Linked DNA regions of Caenorhabditis elegans. The protein of the gene in region 2 purifies or fractionates together with the protein of the main gene of each other region. This does not show direct contact. Each region holds a gene or a part of one and is shown on either strand. Other genes may lie near its edges. The genes, in order: klo-1, egl-15 and kal-1.

Region 1 (5,492 bases), on a different chromosome or scaffold from region 2:
TTTGACAGAGAATTTTGACATTTTTTGAAAGTGGTTCTCAAAAGACTATTATAGGGATATTTTGGCAAAATTTCCGTTTTTAATGAAAACAGCTTTATATTTTCAGAATGGCTTTGGGGTCAATTTTTCTGCCGATTGTCCACATGGGCTAACGCATCTACGTCATTTGCATCAGTTTACACCTTGGTTGCAGTGACGGCTGATCGTTATCTAGCTATTTGCCATACGTTGAAATACAACACTAGCTGGGATCGAGAATATACAAAATATGTTATATTTGCTGTTTGGCTAGTAGCTGCAATATTCGGAATACCTAATTGGTATAACTATGATTTGGTATAAATTTAAAATCGTTGTTTTTTTTTCAAAAAATGCATTTCAGATAGTATGGCAAGAAGGCAGTTATGGTTACCGATTATGTACGTCACAAACGGATCAAAAATTATATTTTTTATTTGTTAACTTATTGCTGGCTTTCATAGTTCCATTTGGTTTGATTTCGGGTCTATACACGAGAATATTTATCACTGTATCAACACATAGAAGTCTGGCAGTTGATGCAAGAGTAAGTTTTATATATTTTTAAACAAATCAAAAAAATCGATAGCCAAGAAATTATTTTACGAGGCTCTTTTAAATTTTTAGCAAAAACTAGATATTAGAATGATTCCATTAAATTTCTATGTGTAAATTGATATTAATATTTTTAGGCCCGAGAAGATCGAGTAAAACTACGAGTTGCCACAATGATGTTAACAGTAATAATTGTATTTGCTTGTTGCTGGTTACCTCTCTATTGCATCTTCACATATTTTTTCTTCTTTGCTGATCAGCGATCGGATCTTTTTCAAATTACTTCAATGGTAGCTGTTTACATATTTATCTTATTAAAAAAGCAAGAATTTCAGTTGATTCGGCCAATATTCCAATGGATGTCATTACTATCGAGTTCTTTAAATCCAATAATTTATATTGCATACAGTCACAAGTACAGAAGAGCTTTCAAAAGTATATTACTGATGCCATGTAAGACAAGGTGAGCAAAAGCTTTTGACACTTTTAGTTTACTTCTTTTGTATTTATTAGTTTTATTCAAATGTATTATTTATCTCTTGTAAATGCATTTTCCTGTAAAATGCGTTTCTAACGTTTATTTTTAAGACTAAATTTATTTTCAAATAATCGGTATATTTTCAGATACGAAAGAGTCCGAAGCACAATACTCCGTCGTCACTCTCGTGGCTTCAAATCAACTGCAACAATTTCAATGTCTAATTTTGGAACTGAACCAACAAATTTAGGTGGAGCATCTAGTTTACTTATTGAACTAGATGGAAAACAGGTGGAAAGATCTACTTCTGATTGTTAAACTTTTTAAAATCATTGAATATGAATATTTTTATATCTAGAACGTTAGGAGTTCAAACATTTTCAGAATCTTAGGTATTCGAAAACATGAAAACATTATTACGGATTGAATTAAAAAATTATGTAGTGTATTAATCAACAATAGAGAAAGTTTTTTTTTAATCAACTGTTTCCTACAACTAAACGTTTTCCATGTTCCTTTTTTCAATTACGGTTTTCCATTTCCACGTGTTTTCTATTGTTTCAACCATCACAAATGCTTTAAATGTTTTTACTAGCATGCAATCTATTTATTATCAATACATTTGTATCCATTCTACAAAAGATTATGATGCTTTTTAAATTCGCGAATAAAAGTTTGATAATATTTAGCCGAATATTTCATGGTTCTTGTTTTGTCTGGAGAATCAAAATCGACGCGACAAATTCCAAATTTAACACCGAATCCGTCATCCCATTCGAAATTATCCATCAGAGTCCAGAGTGTGTAGCCAATGACATTACATCCTTCTTCCAGTGCTGAAATTCAAGTGATCGAAGTTTCCCAAAAATTAATTGAATATCATTGTTTTTTTATTTTTCGAAACTTTTTTCAAATTTAATTTACCTTTAGCTACCGCTTCCAAATGTCCGGAAATAAATTTTATGCGATGCTTATCATCAAGTATCTCCTCTTCTTTTCTTCCTTCACCTCCTACCAAATCCATACATCCATTTTCAGTGATGAATACAGGAATATTATTGTACTTGTCTCTAACATATTTCAAAAGCCCGAACAAACCGTCTGGTGCATAACGAACCCATGTCTCACCACAAATTCTGCAAATTTCTTGGTTATAGGAGAACTTGAAAAAACCAACTTTTCCCATTTTCCTTCATTAAACGCATAAGCTGCGTCTCTTTCTGATTGAGATGCTGGCTCCTCCCCATCATTTAAATTACGAACAATGTGGCTGAGATAATAGTTTATTCCCAGGAAATCAGTGCTTCCTGAAAAAATTATAATTGAAAAAAATTGAAAATTATAATTGGTAAAATATATCAGCAAAATGAATTTAGAGCTGCCAATATGGTGCAAGGCTAACTTAGAAAAAAAAAGTTAACTAATCTTTTTAAAATCAAAAATTTCCGATCGACAGCTAACCTTTGATGAGTTTCTTTTCTTCTTCAGAGAACTTTGGTAGAAACGGTAATTTTTCTCTCATTGAGGCTGGGAAGTCTCCGGAATCAGTCAAAATTGGTTCAATTGTATAATTGAAGAGCCAATCCAGCGCTCGATTACATGCCTGCAAATCATTAAAGTAAGGAAGTCAATAGTTTGACTAACATCAAGATCTGCAGGAGAATCTGAAGCAGGTAGACAGAATCTTCCACCATTTGTTATTCCGATCAAGCCATTTTGAGTTTCTTTGTAGTTTTTCTGGTAGTTTCGATAAATTTTTGCGTGAGTAAGAAGCATGTTGGTGGCTGCACTGAAAATAAAATATTCAATCAGCTTATTCCAAAACATTTGTTTTTTCCTTCGCTTTCAAAGGTTTTTTTCTTCAGAAACTGACATGTAAGGTGCTTGTTCATGATTCTCGATTTCTGGACGATCTGGGCATAACCAAAGTTCTCCTTCAATCTTTACAACTGATGACCAAGCCTGCATGTTTATTTCGTTGAAAGTTATCCATGTCTTCACAAGATCTCCAAACTTTTGGAAACATAAATCTGCGAATTTCTCGAAATGTTCACAATTCTCCTTGTTTAGCCATGATGTTCCATTGTCATAAATTGAAAGAGGCATGTCGAAATGGAACAGTGTCACCTAAATAACATGTTTTCGCTTTTTTATGTTTCAAAGAAATTATTACATACAATTGGCTCAATTCCATTGTCACGTAGTAGAAGACAAATATCACGATAGAATTGAATGCCATCTTCATTTATTGTTTTTAAAGTTCCATCTGGAAGAATTCTGGACCAAGAAATTGAAAATCGGTAGCTGGTGACACCGATTTTTGAGAGAAGAGCAACGTCTTCTTTGTATTTTAGACGACCTTCACAGGAAAGATCAGGGTCCGAGTTATCATGAATTCTACCATTTTCAGAACGAATTGAATCCCAAGTACTGAATCCGCGGCCTTAATGATTTCAGAAGTAAATTTCTAAAAGAATAATTTTTAATTCAAAATAAACTTACCATCTAGATTTTTTGCACCTTCAATTTGATACGCCGCGGTAGCCGTAGCCAATTGGAAATTTTTTGGAAATTTAGTTGGCAAAGACATAACCGAACAAGACATCGACGGAATGATAACTGATAAGAGGTATTTTGTGTGTCAACAGTTGTGTTCAATCGGGTTATGTAAATGAACATTGTTTGTGCCTGATAATAGAGGTATGGAAAATCATATTATTTATGTACATGAAATGGAATACCAGAAGGTTTGAACGAATACTGTAAGAGGTCAGAATATCAAAATTAGAGTTTGATAAAAAATAAATAAATTATTTCAAAGCTTTTTGAGTTGCTGAGAGCATTGAATGAGGCAAACTGGATCCTTTTGAATATCAGTGATTGAGTAATCACGAAGAAGACGAGAACAATCATCAATTGTGATTGAATGACATTCAGGACCTTCTAATGTACATGTACAGGTGATACATGGAGTTATTCGTTTAGTTTTTCCACGATTAACTACACGTTCATCAACAAGGCAATAGTCTCGTTCAACCCATTTGTTCAGGTCAATCTCAGAAAGTTCAGAGCATGTCATCGGAGAGTTTCTGAAAATTATATTTAAGTTTTTGAACTAATTATTAATAAGAAAACTGTTTTTTTAAATTTTTTAAAAATGTTTATTAAACTGAAAATGATCATTTATAGACCTGTTCAATAAATCTCCAACTTACGTAAGATCGTCTGGCATAAGGAACACATTGGGTTGAATATTTGCGGCATATTCACTATTATCGCAAATAATTCTTGACAAACTGGCTTTTCGAATTTCGACAAGTTGATCTGGAGTAAATCGAACCATTGAATCACTTGTCTCATAATAAAATCTGTCGCATTTTTTCAATCTTTGCATTTGTTCACCAATAAGACATGCTAATGTTGGGCCAACAAGTGAGCCTTAATAATTATTTTAAAAAAGCAACAAGTAGAAATTCCGGGTCACCTCTAGTTGGAGATTCACTCATGATTCCCGGGAACAGGTCAATGTCGTCAACATGAGCATAAGCTGTTTCTAAAGCTGTCACAGCTTCTGAGTTCATGACATCACGAAGATCAGAGAAAGCCGATGCTTTTCGAAGTCCACAGTGTTTTCTGAAATACTTCTTAAAATATAAATTTGAAATGTTTACATGCGAACAATATGCTCAGCCGATACCCATCGAGGTTAACCACTTAATCTCGTAATTATGTGTTAAATATTTCGCCTAAGAAACCCAAGTGAACAACTAGGGAAATTGCTAAATTGTGATGACAGAAACGGTTGACGCAAAACGTAAAGATATGCTTGGAGACATTTCGCGCCACAAATGTAGGCATTTTCATCTACTGCCGGTTTTATAAAATTTAAATTGAAATACAAACCTATATGCATTGTAACCTTGAACTCCGTGATCTCTGCCTCTTTGAATATTCACTGCTGGAAGATCCAGTCCAGTTAGTGGACCACCAGGTTTTGCGAACAAATGATTCCGAACAGCCGTGACAATATGACGATCAAAAGCCATACTGTTTGCTCCAATTAATCCCATTAAGATTGACTCCATATGACCGGAGTTCTTATCGTAAACTGGAGATGGATTCGAAAAAGTTTCAGTTAAATTTACATGATTTGTCATGTTTTGGAAATTGTCATTCATTCGTGTGAATACACCACGGATCAAAGAATGTCCAAATCGAAATGCAGATGTTGACATTTCTTGGGATATTGTGGCATCACATTGATCATCGTAACCCTCAAAATATCCAGCTGTTTGTGGCATTAGACCCCATTTTTCCATATTCTGGCAACCAAGAACCACTGGCAACCATTCTTTGTAAATAATGTGTTGAAGTTGTGCAATGTTGATTCGACGGGATTCCTATAAACTAGGTGGGTTTATATAGGAATTTCAATACAACA
Region 2 (8,682 bases):
TGAATTAACAGTTGCCACACATATCGTTTAATGATAATTGTAAGCTTTATTGTATCCATTTCATTGTTTTCATTCAATTTTAGATTGCTTTAATAAATAGAAGAGATTTACGGCGTTAAATCATTTGTTACTTGTTTTGTCCTCCTCGTGACATTGAATGAGGTGGTGCCGTTCCACTGCGCGTGATATATGATACGCAGCCAATTCTCGGTAGACCCGCTTACTTCTTCGACCTTTCGCATTTAATTGCATTCTGATATCTATTTTCATATTGACCACATGTTGTTCACCTGCACACTGTCAAAATGACTCATTTACAATAACTTTTCGCGTTCGAGATTTATAAAGGAATGCAACACAAACAGGTGCGCGTAAATAAAGAAAAACCGAAATTGAATTAGCTTTTGCATCTAAATATGTCGCCTACAATTATCCCGTGTTCTATCATTTTTGGCGACTGACTGCCTTATGCGCAATGCCCAATCACTAACCCCTTTTCTTTTTAACGCATCTCTTTTCTCATCATTGTCCATTCTCGTTTATCTCTCCTTCTTTTTCTAATTCCCTTGATTTTCTCTCACTTTCTGATTGCATTTTTCTATATTGATTAGCCTGTAGACACATACCAAATACTCCAAAAAATAAGACCCACAGCAACAAAAAACCGACGCCTATGTTGTCGGTTACCGTCTCATGATTGTAATGCCCCCTTCTCTTTTTCTTATCACTCTTTTCTAATGGAATTCTTGGGGGCAACAAACTGGTTTAATGACAAAATTGAAACAAGAAATCCATTCACCTACCTGTTAAAATTGAGTAAATGATGTGACATTTGAATTAATTAGACTCGCAACTAACCATCTCGTATCCGCGATAAGCATCTCTTGGAATGTTGGTCACACCCTGTTGTGCAACTATTAAGTTTTGAAATTACAATTTTATAATACATAACTTCTACAAAAAAGTGCCTAGAAATCGCACAGATTAAATTACACTTCAATAATCAAAAAGCTGGTTTATAACTAAATGTTCTAATCATTAATCACAACCTAAGTTTTTTATGAACATTTTCTTTTTATTTTTTTAGGAATATTTAGATAGAATGTTTCACTAAAGAAGTATCTCATTATTTTGAAAACTAGCCTTATAATCTCAAATTTGATCTAATTTAAACTATTTTATATGCAATGTATGACGTTGGTTTTGAAAAGTTACCATAGCGTTATTACGCTTACATCAGCTGCTAAAATTTGTTTTTATTATACATAACGAGTTTTTATAAAACCTCAAATTGCTCTAAAAAAATTACATAACTCTATAACATAGCCGTGATCATTGAAAAGATAGACCCACTTTATTCGCTATATCATACTGCAAGACTAGCAATAAAAAGTTACATTGTGTCCGGAAATGTTGAAAGGTTTTTGTTTCCGTAACATATGCACTGCATCCGGAAGAAACACCTCCAGATGTGACTTCTTATTCAAGGTTTTGCTTCGATATCAATCGAAACGGCATTGTGTCATTCCACCTTGTCGGCGAAGACAACGAATCCACAACATCTTAACATCTGGACGTCTTTCGTCGTCTCAATTTGACGCTCGTTCACTTTTTACTCTTTTTATTATCGCCCTCCGCTCGCTGCTCGTTTTTTTTTTCTATGAGCAACATATGCGTAAATTTAGACGGTTCTAATTATGATTTGCTTTAGTTTCTTGATTGTTCCCAGAGATCATTAGACCTTATGACCCAGAGGGTCGGAACTTTTGAAAACGTTGCGCGGGTGTCGCCAATTTGTTACATATGGTGGTGGGGTATGGAGCCAGTAATATATAACCCATGGCTCGCGCAGAGGTACCAGTAAGAACCCAACAAATAAATCTTTGTACCGGTCTGATTCACCTCTCTCACATGTATTCAATTTCAAAAGTTTCACAGCTTCTCCTTCTGAGTGTTTTAATATTTTGATTATTAGTAGATAAATAGTAGATACAAAAGATTGCAGAAATTCGAATGTTTGCCTGATACATATCATCATGAGTTATTTCCTTGCATCCTGCCTCGGTGTGGGCTTACTTTCTACAGTTTCTTGTTCTCTTCAAGGATTGACCAGTCATTACAGAGGTAAGAGAGTTGTCACAAAATCTAATTTATTTTCATATTATTCGATTTTACAGAAAATATTCCCCGTTTCAAGCATGTAGCAAACGAAAGATACGAAGTATTTCTTGGAGATGAGGTTTGGTGGAACAAATATTTAACAGCAATAGATGTACACAGTTTTAGATAAAATTTGACTGTCAAACCGCGGCGTCAAAGATTTCTGCCTTTGTCGAATGGTATCGTAATGACAAGTTACTCAAAAATGATCAAATAGATAAAGACAAAATTCGGAAAGATAATAACAGGATGATGCTTCACTTGAAGAATATTGATGTTTCAGATCAGGTATATGATTTTTTATTATTTTTGTGGTTTTTTTTTTGTTGAACAATGTGGTTAGAACACCAAGTATCGCATTTCTCCTATTAGAATTGCATGCATTTCTATTTTTTTAATTGACAATTTAGAGTGCAAAGACTGATAGGAATTCAAGACTAACATACACTATGAAACTGTATTTCGATGTCTCGTTTCAAATTTGGTTTTTCTTGTTTTTAACCTAAAATACTGGAGTTACCTAAAATACCGTAAAGAAACAATACAACATGATAATTAAAATGATTTAATGTTTGAAAAATGTTTGGAATTATTAAAAAAAAACATTTAACCAATAAAAAATATCTTGTAGATGCTAAAGTTTGTGTGATATCTCTTGCGCGTGTTTAGTTCTGCAAGAATAATATGAAAGAAAATAGGAAAAAAAACTATAACCGACTACCATGAGTTTTAAGCATCATCAAAAATATATATTAATTCAAAAATACCAACAAACTGAGAACTTTTTTCAGCAGTTTTTGACTCTGTCAACTTAAAAAAAAACGTTTATTTAAAAACGTTTAAAAACGTTTAAAAACTAATATTTTTGCAGGGTCTTTGGTCTTGCCGCGTACACAACGCATATGGACAAATATCACGAAATTTTACAGTTGAAGTTATTGGTAAGTATCTCTATTGCTCGATTCTTTGCAGTGCAAGCATAATTTCTTCCATGCATGGTGTGCTTTGTTTTCAGACTTTTGTGATTACTTCCTGTTTCCCGATATTCATCATTTGAACATTCCGATGGAATGTGTTTGTTTATGGAAATACAACAAAGAAGCAAAACGATCTGATGTGAACTATGCAGCGGTAACAGGAGAAGTCTGCTCAAAGTACGCATCTCGCATGATAAATAGAGCACGAAAACCGTTGCCAATGATTCCTTGCTTTGGTGATCACTGCAAAGAATTTGACACTACTCCTGTTTCGGATTTTGGTTTACCTGGGAAACCCGAGGACGATCCTTTAGTAAAGCGTGTTGTTTTGAAAAAAGATGATGTGATTGTGCCCGTGCATGACTCTGAAGAAAGTCCATCCGAATCCAGTAAGTTATTTCAGATCCACTTAAACTGTTCGATTGGCTCACTGAGCATCGAGTATTCGATATTAGTCATTTATTGCCAAAATTGCTACCTCCTGCGGAAATGAGGAGAGTGAAAAGCCAATTGGGCGGATGGGAGAAGATGAATAATGAACAGAAAATTGTTCGAGCCAGGCACATTCTGAGATTAAGACAGATCAATCATGCTTTGGGTAGGCTACATCAGTGGTTGAATTATTTTAAATGCTTCATTTTCTTCTTATATATCTCAGTAAACTTGTTTTTAGGAACCGAATTTATCAATGCTGATGAAAAAGAAAACAAAGAAGACGAAGAAGAAGACTATAGTGTTTCACAACCGGTTGCTCCAGATGCGGGGCTCACTGAGCTGAATATTACTGCGGAAGAGCCACCATATTTCAAGTCAAACGACAACATTGTATTGTTTAATGAAACGCATGCTCTACCAGCAGGACGAACATTGAAACTTAATTGTCGCGCAAAAGGATACCCTGAGCCACAGGTACGATTCATGAAAAACTTGAAATTTTTCACGTAAAGAAACATTGGATTTTCAATCAATGCATTTGATCACAGATTATCTGGTACAAAAACGGCAAAATGTTGAAGAAAAGTAGTGCTCGGTCCGGCGGATACGAATTCAAGTTCAATAGATGGTCTTTAGAAGTGGAAGATGCTGTCGTAGCAGATTCTGGGGAGTTTCATTGTGAAGCATTGAACAAAGTTGGAAGTGCAAAAAAGTATTTCCATGTGATCATAGTCAACAGAATGAGAAGACCGCCCATTATCGTTCCGAATATTTTGGCTAATCAATCAGTAAGATTTTGCCTCACGGCATCTATAGTTTCAATGTTTTATATTTAGGTAAATATTAATGACACTGCCACATTCCACTGCAAAGTTGTCTCTGACTTATTGCCTCATATTATTTGGGTACGCATCAACAAAATCAATGGGTCGTATAGCTACTACAACAATTCAGCTGAAGAGTATATGTTCAATTACACAGAGATGGACACTTTTGATGTATGTTATGAAACATGTTCTCATCTATCAAAAAGTGTCGTTTCAGAAAGCGCACGTCCATCACGTTGGTGATGAATCGACGCTTACTATTTTCAATGTGTCGCTGGATGATCAGGGAATATATGCTTGTCTCAGTGGAAACTCACTGGGGATGGTAAGAAATTGATTGAACCTTCTAGTTGAACAAATTAAGAGTTTTACAGTCGATGGCGAATGCCACTTTAACGGTGAATGAGTTTATGGCCATACATTTGCTCACTGGTGACGAACCGAAGATAGATAGATGGACAACATCCGATTATATATTTACAACAATTCTGCTTTTCTTACTGCTTGCTGCAACATTATTTGGAATTTTGTTTATGGTGTGCAAACAAACACTACACAAAAAAGGATTCATGGATGATACTGTTGGATTAGTGGCAAGAAAAAAAAGAGTCGTAGTTAGCAAAAGGCCAATGAATGAAGATAATGAGAATTCGGATGATGAGCCATCACCTTATCAAATTCAAATAATAGAGACTCCAATTACAAAGAAAGAAGCAGCGAGAAAACAAAGAAAACGTATGAATTCAGAAAACACTGTTCTTTCGGAATACGAGGTTGATTCGGATCCAGTTTGGGAAGTTGAAAGATCAAAGTGGGTCAAATCTTTAATACATTCAGCCAGACAAGAATTCAATTTAAACATTAAATTTCAACGTTTAGATTGAGTTTGGTTCACATGCTTGGCGAGGGAGCATTTGGAGAAGTTTGGAAAGCAACATACAAAGAAACAGAAAACAATGTAATTTTGGGAAAACAAAAAAACAAGAAAATCTGAAATTTTAATTGCGTTTCAGGAAATCGCAGTTGCTGTCAAAAAATTGAAAATGTCAGCTCACGAAAAAGAGCTCATTGACTTGGTCAGTGAAATGGAAACATTCAAAGTTATAGGAGAACATGAGAACGTGTTGCGATTGATTGGATGCTGTACAGGCGCTGGTCCGCTTTATGTCGTTGTTGAGCTGTGCAAGCATGGGAATTTGCGCGATTTCTTGAGAGCACATAGACCTAAGGAAGAGAAGGCAAAAAAGTCCAGCCAAGAATTGACGGATTATTTGGAACCACGAAAAGCATCTGATAAGGATGACATTGTGAGTGGCTTATGTTTTGAATAAAATATGATTTTTTCCACTGACAAAATTTGAAATACTCATCAAACTTTGAAAATCTTGTAGAAAAGCGTTTTCCTGATTGCTCATTATCAGTAAACCTGTCTTAGTCAGTTTTAAATTTACCAGAGTAATTTTGCTGAAATTTTCATTTTTAGGAGCTCATACCAAATTTGACACAACGCCATCTTGTACAATTTGCTTGGCAAGTGGCTCAAGGAATGAACTTCTTGGCATCAAAGAAGATCATACATCGTGATTTGGCAGCAAGAAATGTTCTCGTCGGTGATGGACACGTTCTGAAAATATCGGATTTTGGACTATCGAGAGATGTGCACTGTAACGATTATTATAGGTTGTAACATTATTCCTAATGATATATTACTGATGATATATTACTTCCAGAAAACGTGGAAACGGCAGACTTCCCATTAAATGGATGGCTTTAGAAGCGTTGGACTCAAATGTATACACCGTGGAAAGTGATGTGTGAGTAATGGTTTTCTGTGGTAGAAAAGTTTCGTGGAGGTCCTTTCCAGGTTCACGTTTGAAAAAAATTGATTTTTCAATATAATCACATATGTCTTATTTGTCTTTTCACACAAGTTAATCATCCTGAGTCAACCTGAGCATCTGAATCGGGATAGCTGTATATTTATTTTACTTATTTTGGGTTTTTAGGATACAACGTTTTAGGATTTTAATTTAGGGAAAAACATTAAACATAAATATATTTGTGATATGTCTGAATTGAAGTTGTTTCCCGCCTGTGGAAAAATAGTTATAAAAAACTATTGAACGACAATTTAATTTAACAAAAAATATATTATTCAAATTTGAATATCAAAAAAAAAAAATACTATTGCTTCCAAAACTATCACTCTGTGAACAATGCATTCACCATTTTTCTTGGCACGCTTTTATTTCAGTTTTCCATTTACATTTTTTGGGGCAATTTTAGGGCACGACAGTGGTTGTGTACCAAAATTAATACTATAATGACTCATTGATACTTTTGTAGATGGTCATATGGAGTTCTCCTTTGGGAAATCATGACACTTGGTGGAACTCCCTATCCAACGATTGCCATGCCTGAACTCTATGCTAACCTCAAAGAAGGATACAGGTGAAAATATTGAGAAAAACATGCAAATCTCACCTGTCTGACATGTTTTTGCAGAATGGAGCCACCACATTTATGTCCCCAAGAAGTCTACCATTTGATGTGCAGCTGCTGGAGAGAAAAATTGGAAGAACGACCATCTTTTAAAACAATCGTAGATTATTTGGATTGGATGTTAACAATGACAAATGAGACTATTGAGGGATCACAAGAATTTAATGTAAGGTCATACATCTGTGACAACATTTTTGAGGATATTTTCCAGGATCAATTTTTCTCCGAAAGATCCACGGCATCAGGTCCAGTTTCTCCTATGGAGTCATTCCAGAAAAAGAGAAAACATCGCCCTCTTTCAGCTCCAGTGAATCTTCCATCAGAGGTAGATCAAAACGTAATTTCGTACATAACGTATTTAAATTTTAAAAGAATTTAACCTATGAATTCGGAATCCATAAAGCACTGTTTTTGCAGCCACAACACACAATTTGCGACGACTATGAGTCCAATTTTTCTGTAGAACCACCCAATGATCCGAATCATCTCTACTGCAATGACAATATGCTGAAAAATCACATTATTACACCGGAAACCTCTCAACGTATTCCATCAAACAACAATAGCATGAGCAAACCCGAATTTTGACCGTTTTTAGTGTACATCCACAAAGTGCTCAACGAACCAATCGGAAACGGGTATGTTCGACAAGATAAATTAGCTCGTGCCGTCAGCGGTGTTGCCAACCAATCTCTCGACTCTGCCCTCGGTTCACCAGCTTGGCCTTCGTACGACCGTCCCTCTAACAAAGCTTCTTGTTTAGGTTCGTTTTCAGTTCGCTACTGACATTTAAGTTCAGGGCAACGATTTCAATGAATTTATAGATGATGAGAAGCATCACTACTATTACTCATAGTAGTCTCTCCGCCGTTATCAGATGTCATTTAAAAGTCCATTGTGGTAATCATGTTTCCGTGTTGTGTGTTTTTGTCCTGTAACATTTTTGTTTGGTGTAATGGGTTGCAGAACATCAAATCACATAAGTTAGCTTACAGATTTGCCTCCGTCAAGTGTCCAGACTAACATGACACTTATAAATGTTGTGCTATGTAACCTTTAAAGTTTCATTTGCAGATCAAACTCACCAGTATTATAATACAACGTCTAAAATTCAATATCTTCATTTTACCTTCGATGATCCAGATTGTATGACTAGGCAAGTATCGAAACAAATTTTAATAATTAGTAAACAAACTTGCTAGATAAAAACAGCCAATAGAGTTTTTTTATTGTTTAAAAACTTTACATTAAAATAAAACCTGAAATTTAAGTTGATAAATATGATACAGTCACACTTACTATTAGTTCAAAAATGTTGATCTTTCAAAATCTCGAATTCAACTAGAACTTGAATAATTTTTCACACATTAATTCCATCACAATTAGTTCTAAACCTAAAAATTAAAAAGCTAACGTTTTAATTTCTAAAAGAGAAGAAACACTTCAAAATGTTTATCTTTAGAACTTGTACGTGTAGGAGCGGCCCAATTATCACCCTCTTTTGCATAATTTTAGGAAAATTATTGTTTACCAGTTACTGAAACAGTTCTTAAATGATCATAGAAAAGCGTAAAAATTAACCAAAATCCGAAATAAAATGTGTCAATAAAAACAATTATAAAACTGAAGTTGTTCTTTTACTTTTAGATCAAGAGATTCTGCAATATTCGAGGAATCATATCATCCTAACTATATCCAGTCACATCCACTCTACTCGAAAATCATAATCAAAAAGAACATGTGAGTGCCAATTCTGGCATGAAAACACTACTACAGAGTTC
Region 3 (6,035 bases), on a different chromosome or scaffold from region 2:
AAAGGTTACAATAACCAAATGGGAACACGAGGAGTGGTAACAGGTGAATGACAAATTGTGACAGGGTGACAAGAGGGCGAGGGGTAACATTTTAAAAAGGAAAAATTGGCAAATCAACTAGGTACCATACCTATGGGAACTTAGATGTCAGAGTGAAAAGATACCTCATATTTAAGAGCCTTGCTATGTATGGATACTGCTGTGAGTTTAGGACCCTTCACAGCCTGAACTCCTCCGCGCATAGGGTCTAAACCGATATAGGCTCTTAGAAGACCCTAAGGTGCACCAGCCAAAAAAGCCTTACCATGCCGAGTCCTAGTGATCTCAGGATCCATGATCTCAGGGAGCACGTATTTCTTCAACCAAATGGTCTAAGCTAATTTAGGCCTTCAGTAGACCTCTATCAAGCTCATGGTTTTTTTTGCAAAGCCTCCCTGGTCTCCTACAAGCTTAGAGGCCAATCTAGATTTTTAGAACACCCATTTCAAGCCGACCGTCCAGCTTTGACCCTAACCAAACTAGGGCCAACCTAGACTCCCTAGACCCCCAAAGTCACTAGATTTCTGCTCCCCAGGACCTTCAATTCGTACTTTTTTCTCTTCTTTTTCATGTCTTTTCTTCTCTCCACCAAACCCCTAATTATTGAGAAGGTCCCCCCACAAACTACTAACTAACTTTTTTCGTTAGCAAAGCATAGTAGTAAAGTCACTCTCTTTTTGACCTCCGACAGCGCGTGTCATTGTCACTGATTGATGATGTTCGTTAGAGCAAAAAAGAGGAAAGGAGCCGCCAAACTAACATATACCTGACCTCACACCAGCAGAGCTTCCCCCTTTTCCAATATCTTTGCCTTAATCCGAACCTTCTATATGAATATATATTCATTATTATAATTATTACCCCACCACATTCCTTTTCAAGAGATTTCAAAATGAAAAGTAGTAGTAGTAGTGTTGAGAAAGAGATTGGAATCTAAATCCGAATGAAGACGCGGAGGGGTCTCTCCATAAAACTAATTGCCGTCGAGTTTGTGATGCGTGACAATTTCTTGGCCCTGATGCGCGCAGTAAATCATGAACAGCGGTTGTCAGTAAGAGAAGCGAGTAGGTTGTAAATTGCGCGCGGTACGGTGGTCTTGAAACTGATACGGTGGGGTACGGTAAAAATTGGCTAAAGTAAAAAATTGGTTCCCACTGGGCTAAATTATGCTTAAATTGAAACTGATGTCACCTGATTTTTAGGAATTTTTAAAGAATTTTTGGAACTGAAGTATCTTAAAAATGCTTTAAATTGGTCTAAAATTATCAAAATTTGCAGAAAAGGAACAGAAAATCTAGCTTGAAAACTCTTGAAATTTTTCACACCTCATAAAAAGTCATGGACAAGGTCGAAAAATGGTTCAAAATTCTGAAAATTGGGAGAAAAACAGCCTGAAGGCTCTCAAAAGCGGAGAAAATTAGCTTAAAGCATGTGGAATTAACCGAAATCAGCTATCAAAAATCAATCAGAAAAATCAGCTTAAAGTAGCTCGAACCTACCCAAACACTGTCAAAATCTGTTCAGATCACCCAAAAAATCTAGAAAAATCTCAAAATTTGGATAAAATATGTGTAAATTAGCCCAACAAATTAGCTGAAAACACGGAGAAATTGCTCTAAAAACATTAAATTTTCAAAAAAATCACTAAAATCTGTGTAGAATCACTTAGACACCCTGAACAGTCGGTTGCACCATGTTAACCCTTGCCGAGTTTTGACCAAAAATGGTGCAAAATGTCACAAAAAAGCCTGCGATTTCCCTCAAAATCCATCATCAAAATCCCCTAAAAGCTCAAAATTTGGACAAAATAGGTAAAAGTTAGCCTAAACATTTTCAAAATCGGTGAAAATTCACTCTAAAACTGCTAAAACAGTCCTAAACTCGTTACACTGTATAGAAGTACTGAGGAGCCCTTTATGGCCGGTTGCACCATGATAAAACAGATAAAACTCGTCGAATTTTGGCTAAAACTGATGCGAAATTTTTCTAAAAACCCCCCAAATTTCCGGAAATTTGTCCCAAAAACTCCAAAATTCCCTCCCAAGGCCAAATCAATGCACTCTTGAGTGCACTTGGCCGACCTCGGACCTCCTTATTCGAACAAAAGTTTGTGTGTGTGTGTGTGTGTGGACAATGTGTGAATATGACAATAGGGAAGAGTTCACACCGGAAGAGGGGTCTATTCATAACATTCCGAGAGACCTCCTAGGGGTTATTAAGTGGGTCCAGCTACCAAGTTTTATGACTCTTCCCCCCTACCCCTCACCCTATCCCCCCTTAGTAAGAGTCAACAAAAACAACACATTAATTTAGTTTTAGAGCCCAATTCCCCCCCGCGCAGCTGCTCTTTACTTTTATCGTTTACAACATCTAGAAACAACAATGAGTAGTATATGTGACACCTGTAGGGGAGGAGGTCAGGTATCCATCCCCCCATCAGCTGGCAGGAAGTGGTCCCTGCTATTACCCCCACCCCCCTCCATTAGATTTTATCTAGAAGAAACAATGTTTCTTTTTTGAATACCCAATACCTCCATCTTGATAGCACGTTACGCAAGTCACTTTTAATGTTTTCATATACAAAGAGGTACCGCTTAATGTACTAAAATTGCGTAAGGTGTATCGATGGACTCGTATAAGTTGGCGGGCTAGGTTTTTGAATGGTCTTGGCTGGAAAAAGCAAAAATAGATGATTTACAAATTTGAATTTCCCGCCAGCAACTGTATTACTGTAGAAAATGTGAAAAAAGTTTTGGCGGAGATTCAAATTTGTCAAAAAACATATTTTTGGCTTGATTTTCAAATTTTTTTAAAAAAATGTTTGGCGGGAATTTCAAATTTTCATTGAAAATCTAATTTTGGCGGGAATTTCAATTTTTTGAGAAAAACCAATTTTTTGGCGGGAAATTCAATTTTTCTGAGAAGCTACATGTTCGGCCAAAAGTTCAAATTTTCTGAGGAAAATCAAATTTGGCGGGAAATTCAAAATTTCAAAGAAAATAGTTTTGGCGGGAAATTTAAATTTTCTGTGAAAAAAAATTTGGCGGGAAATTCAAAATTTCTGAGAAGAACTGTTTTGGCAGGAAATTCAACATTTCCTCAGAAAACAAATTTTTAGCGGTAGATTCGAATTTTCTAAGAAACTATATTTTCAAGCGAGAAATTCAAAATTTCAGAGTAATTTTTTTGGCGGGAAATTTGAATTTTCTGACAAATTATATACTCAGAAAATTGCTCCCAAAAGCTGAAATCCCCTTCAAACTCCCCCAGAAAAAAAAATCCGAATTTCCCGCCAAATCCCGAAAATTCGCCAAATCAATTCTATTTGTACACCCATAAATTACACTGTACAGTATCTTGCTTGTAAATCTCCCAAAACTTTCTTTGGGGGAGGTCTACCCTTATCAACATCTCCTACCACCGGAATTCGCCCTTGATTGACATGTTTGTTCTTCTACATGTCGTCGTATATTTAGGCGGGGGGGGGGGGGGGGGTATCCACTTGAAAACCGAGAAAAGGAGCCGCTATGTGTGTGTGTGTCGGTATTTGGAGAGCATGAAACAATGACAATATGCCTAGGTCACAGGTACTAGAGCCAAGTGGTTATGGATATAAGGACTCTTTCCTAGATTGTGACATGGTGCATCGATTTTTGCTCAATTTTTCCCATAAATTAGCCAACAATTTCCAAAAACTCACTTGTAGCCTCTGATCCATCAAGTGAAGGCATTGAGCCTGACATCGAGTCGAAATTAGCTCGTCCGGGCTCACGGAGCCCAATATGAATAGGAGCAGCAGTAGAATCATGTGCTGTAAGAGTAAAAATGTGCAAAAAAAAAAAAGAAAAAAAGAAGTTAAAAGAGTTAACGAGCCCAATTTGCATATTTTATGAACTGGCGAAGGGGGAGAAGAAGATAAATGTAGCTTTTTAGGGGGTAAAAATGCAGTTTTTGAGTTAAAAATTGAAGAAAAATGAGGAAAAGTACAGCAAAAAGCTCAAAACTGCTGAGAAATCCGATAAAAACTATGTAAAAAAGGAAAAAAGCACATGGTGCATCGACTAACAAATTTATCGATGCACCATGATTTTTTCTCGAGTTTTCTCGAATTTTTCGTGATTTTTAAGCTTTCCCTGTTGTTCTCTAAGTTTCTAACATCTTTTTCCGTTTTTTAAATTAAAAAATAACACAAAAAATACCAAAAAATGCTCAAAAACCTTACAAAAATATGTTAGAAACTCAGGGCAATGCTCACGGTGCATCGATCAATTTTGAAAATCTACGAAAAAAACCTTCAAAACTAAGAAAAACTCAGAAAAAAGCTCATGATGCATCGAAAAATTAAGGAAATCTACAAAAAAAAACCTTTAAAACTACGAAAATTCAAAAAAAAAGAAGTTATGGTGCATTGAGAAAAAGAAAAAGGCTTTTCAGAAAAAGGCTTCAAAACTACAAAAAAAATCAGAAAATCCAGAAAAAAGCACATGGTGCATCGACTGATCCAGTGGAACCGCCAAAAATTCAGAAAAAAAACCCCACGAAAACCCAAAATTGTACAAAATGACCGTAGAACCCGGAAAAATTCGCCCCAAAATCTAATAAAATATTATGACAAACGACAAATAACAATAGGGGGCCTCTAAATGATACACGCGTTCCCAAACAAACATATTAAATTCATTGCCCAGGGAGGAGGTACGGGGGGTGAGGAATGACAAGAAATGGGAGGGGCATGGAGACAAAAGAACCGCCCATCCGTTCTCAGAGACGCAGGGAGGAAAAGGATGGGGGAAGGAAGAGGGGAAGAGTCTGATTTGGTGAGGGAGCTCAGGGTGATAGGAAAAAGAGTATATTATCGAAAAAATACGATCGCACAAATTTCTCATAATTTATTTTTGATCTACCTCTGTTGAACTTGACTCCGCCCCCAATCTTGTTTCCGTTGTTAATTTGTTGTGGCTGTCTTGTAGAAGGTAGGGGAGGAGCCTAATCAACAAGGTAGATCAAAAATAAATTATGAGAAAATTGTGCGATCGTATTTTTTCGATAATAATTTGAAAAATGGTCTGAAAATCTGTTTAAAACCAAAACCACAGAGAAATACAGAACACTCATGGTGCATCGACAAATTCTAGGAATTTGAGGAAAAACTTTCAAAACTACGAAAAATTGCAAAAACCCCGGCCAAAAGCTCATGGTGCATCGATAAATTGGGGGAATTTGCGGGAAAAAAACCTCCAAAACTATTATACGAAAAATTTTTTAAAAATCGAGAAGAACGCTCATGGTGCATCGACAGGTTTGAAAAATGTATAGAAGAAGGCTTTAAATATACAAAAAATGCAATAAATCTAGAATAAAACACATGGTGCATCAATAAATTTTAAGAATTTGCGGGAAAAAAACGTTCCAAACTATGAAATAATTCAAAGACCCCGGAAAAAAGCTTATGGTGCATCGAAAAAAATCTACTAAATTATCTGAAAATTTAAAGCTTATGGTGCATTGATTAACACGGTGAATTTCAGAATAATTTATCGAAAAATCAAGAAAAAGCCCTGAAACTTGCCCAAAAATCTTCACAAAATCATGGTGCATCGACCAAAAAAAAAGGCTGAAAATCACGGTTTGATCTACAAAAAATGCGGGAATTTTTCGCCCAAAAAAATGTGATGTTAGCATTTCTTTTTGTTCTTAATCATGCGAAATCAGTTGAGAAGTCTGCCCTATTTCTCCCCCATTTTTTGTAGATCTACGTAGATCAAGCCGAAATGACCCACATATGGTGCATCGACAAATTCTCGGAATTTAGGAAAAGACATTCAAAACCACAAAAAAATTCTGAAAATTCAAGTGAAAGCTCATGGTGCATCAAGTAACTCAGCGGATTCGCTAAAAAAATCTCTTGAAGTCTGCTAAACTAGCTATAAATTAGCCTATTTTGATTAATTTTAAGGTAGAAAAAACGCTGAAAATTTGCTCAAAAGCCAGAAAAT

Evidence for each region.
Region 1: the proteins of egl-15 (region 2) and klo-1 purify together in Caenorhabditis elegans (affinity purification with western blotting; one study listed by BioGRID). This does not show direct contact.
Region 3: the proteins of egl-15 (region 2) and kal-1 purify together in Caenorhabditis elegans (affinity purification with western blotting, with the first as the bait; one study listed by BioGRID). This does not show direct contact.

Annotation. Positions count from the first base shown.
Region 1 is NC_003282.8:7,744,348-7,749,839, forward strand, and holds klo-1 (Glycoside hydrolase family 1 protein), read right to left. Parts: upstream 3,655-5,492; 5' UTR 3,642-3,654; coding exon 3,554-3,641; intron 3,495-3,553; coding exon 3,229-3,494; intron 3,179-3,228; coding exon 2,925-3,178; intron 2,841-2,924; coding exon 2,696-2,840; intron 2,655-2,695; coding exon 2,513-2,654; intron 2,359-2,512; coding exon 2,229-2,358; intron 2,188-2,228; coding exon 1,976-2,187; intron 1,888-1,975; coding exon 1,685-1,887; 3' UTR 1,632-1,684; downstream 1-1,631. Other genes in the region: npr-35 (G-protein coupled receptors family 1 profile domain-containing protein), read left to right, coding at 107-336, 383-565, 711-863, 909-1,036, 1,198-1,369; C46A5.4 (Peroxidase), read right to left, coding at 3,867-4,140, 4,267-4,489, 4,536-4,684, 4,955-5,451.
Region 2 is NC_003284.9:11,014,405-11,023,086, forward strand, and holds the start of egl-15 (receptor protein-tyrosine kinase), read left to right. Parts: upstream 1-1,995; 5' UTR 1,996-2,036; coding exon 2,037-2,124; intron 2,125-2,177; coding exon 2,178-2,239; intron 2,240-2,286; coding exon 2,287-2,448; intron 2,449-3,031; coding exon 3,032-3,101; intron 3,102-3,175; coding exon 3,176-3,526; intron 3,527-3,540; coding exon of another isoform or gene 3,541-3,735; intron 3,736-3,810; coding exon 3,811-4,046; intron 4,047-4,120; coding exon 4,121-4,360; intron 4,361-4,408; coding exon 4,409-4,570; intron 4,571-4,616; coding exon 4,617-4,724; intron 4,725-4,773; coding exon 4,774-5,210; intron 5,211-5,278; coding exon 5,279-5,357; intron 5,358-5,412; coding exon 5,413-5,706; intron 5,707-5,882; coding exon 5,883-6,079; intron 6,080-6,129; coding exon 6,130-6,213; intron 6,214-6,745; coding exon 6,746-6,850; intron 6,851-6,904; coding exon 6,905-7,067; intron 7,068-7,112; coding exon 7,113-7,226; intron 7,227-7,318; coding exon 7,319-7,445; coding exon of another isoform or gene 7,446-7,489; and 10 more. Other genes in the region: F58A3.3 (RHDF1), read left to right, coding at 1-8. UniProt on the Caenorhabditis elegans protein: Receptor tyrosine kinase required for larval development. May phosphorylate adapter protein soc-1 which in turn may result in the recruitment and/or activation of phosphatase ptp-2.
Region 3 is NC_003279.8:14,138,358-14,144,392, forward strand, and holds the start of kal-1 (WAP-type 'four-disulfide core), read right to left. Parts: upstream 3,851-6,035; 5' UTR 3,848-3,850; coding exon 3,740-3,847; intron 1-3,739.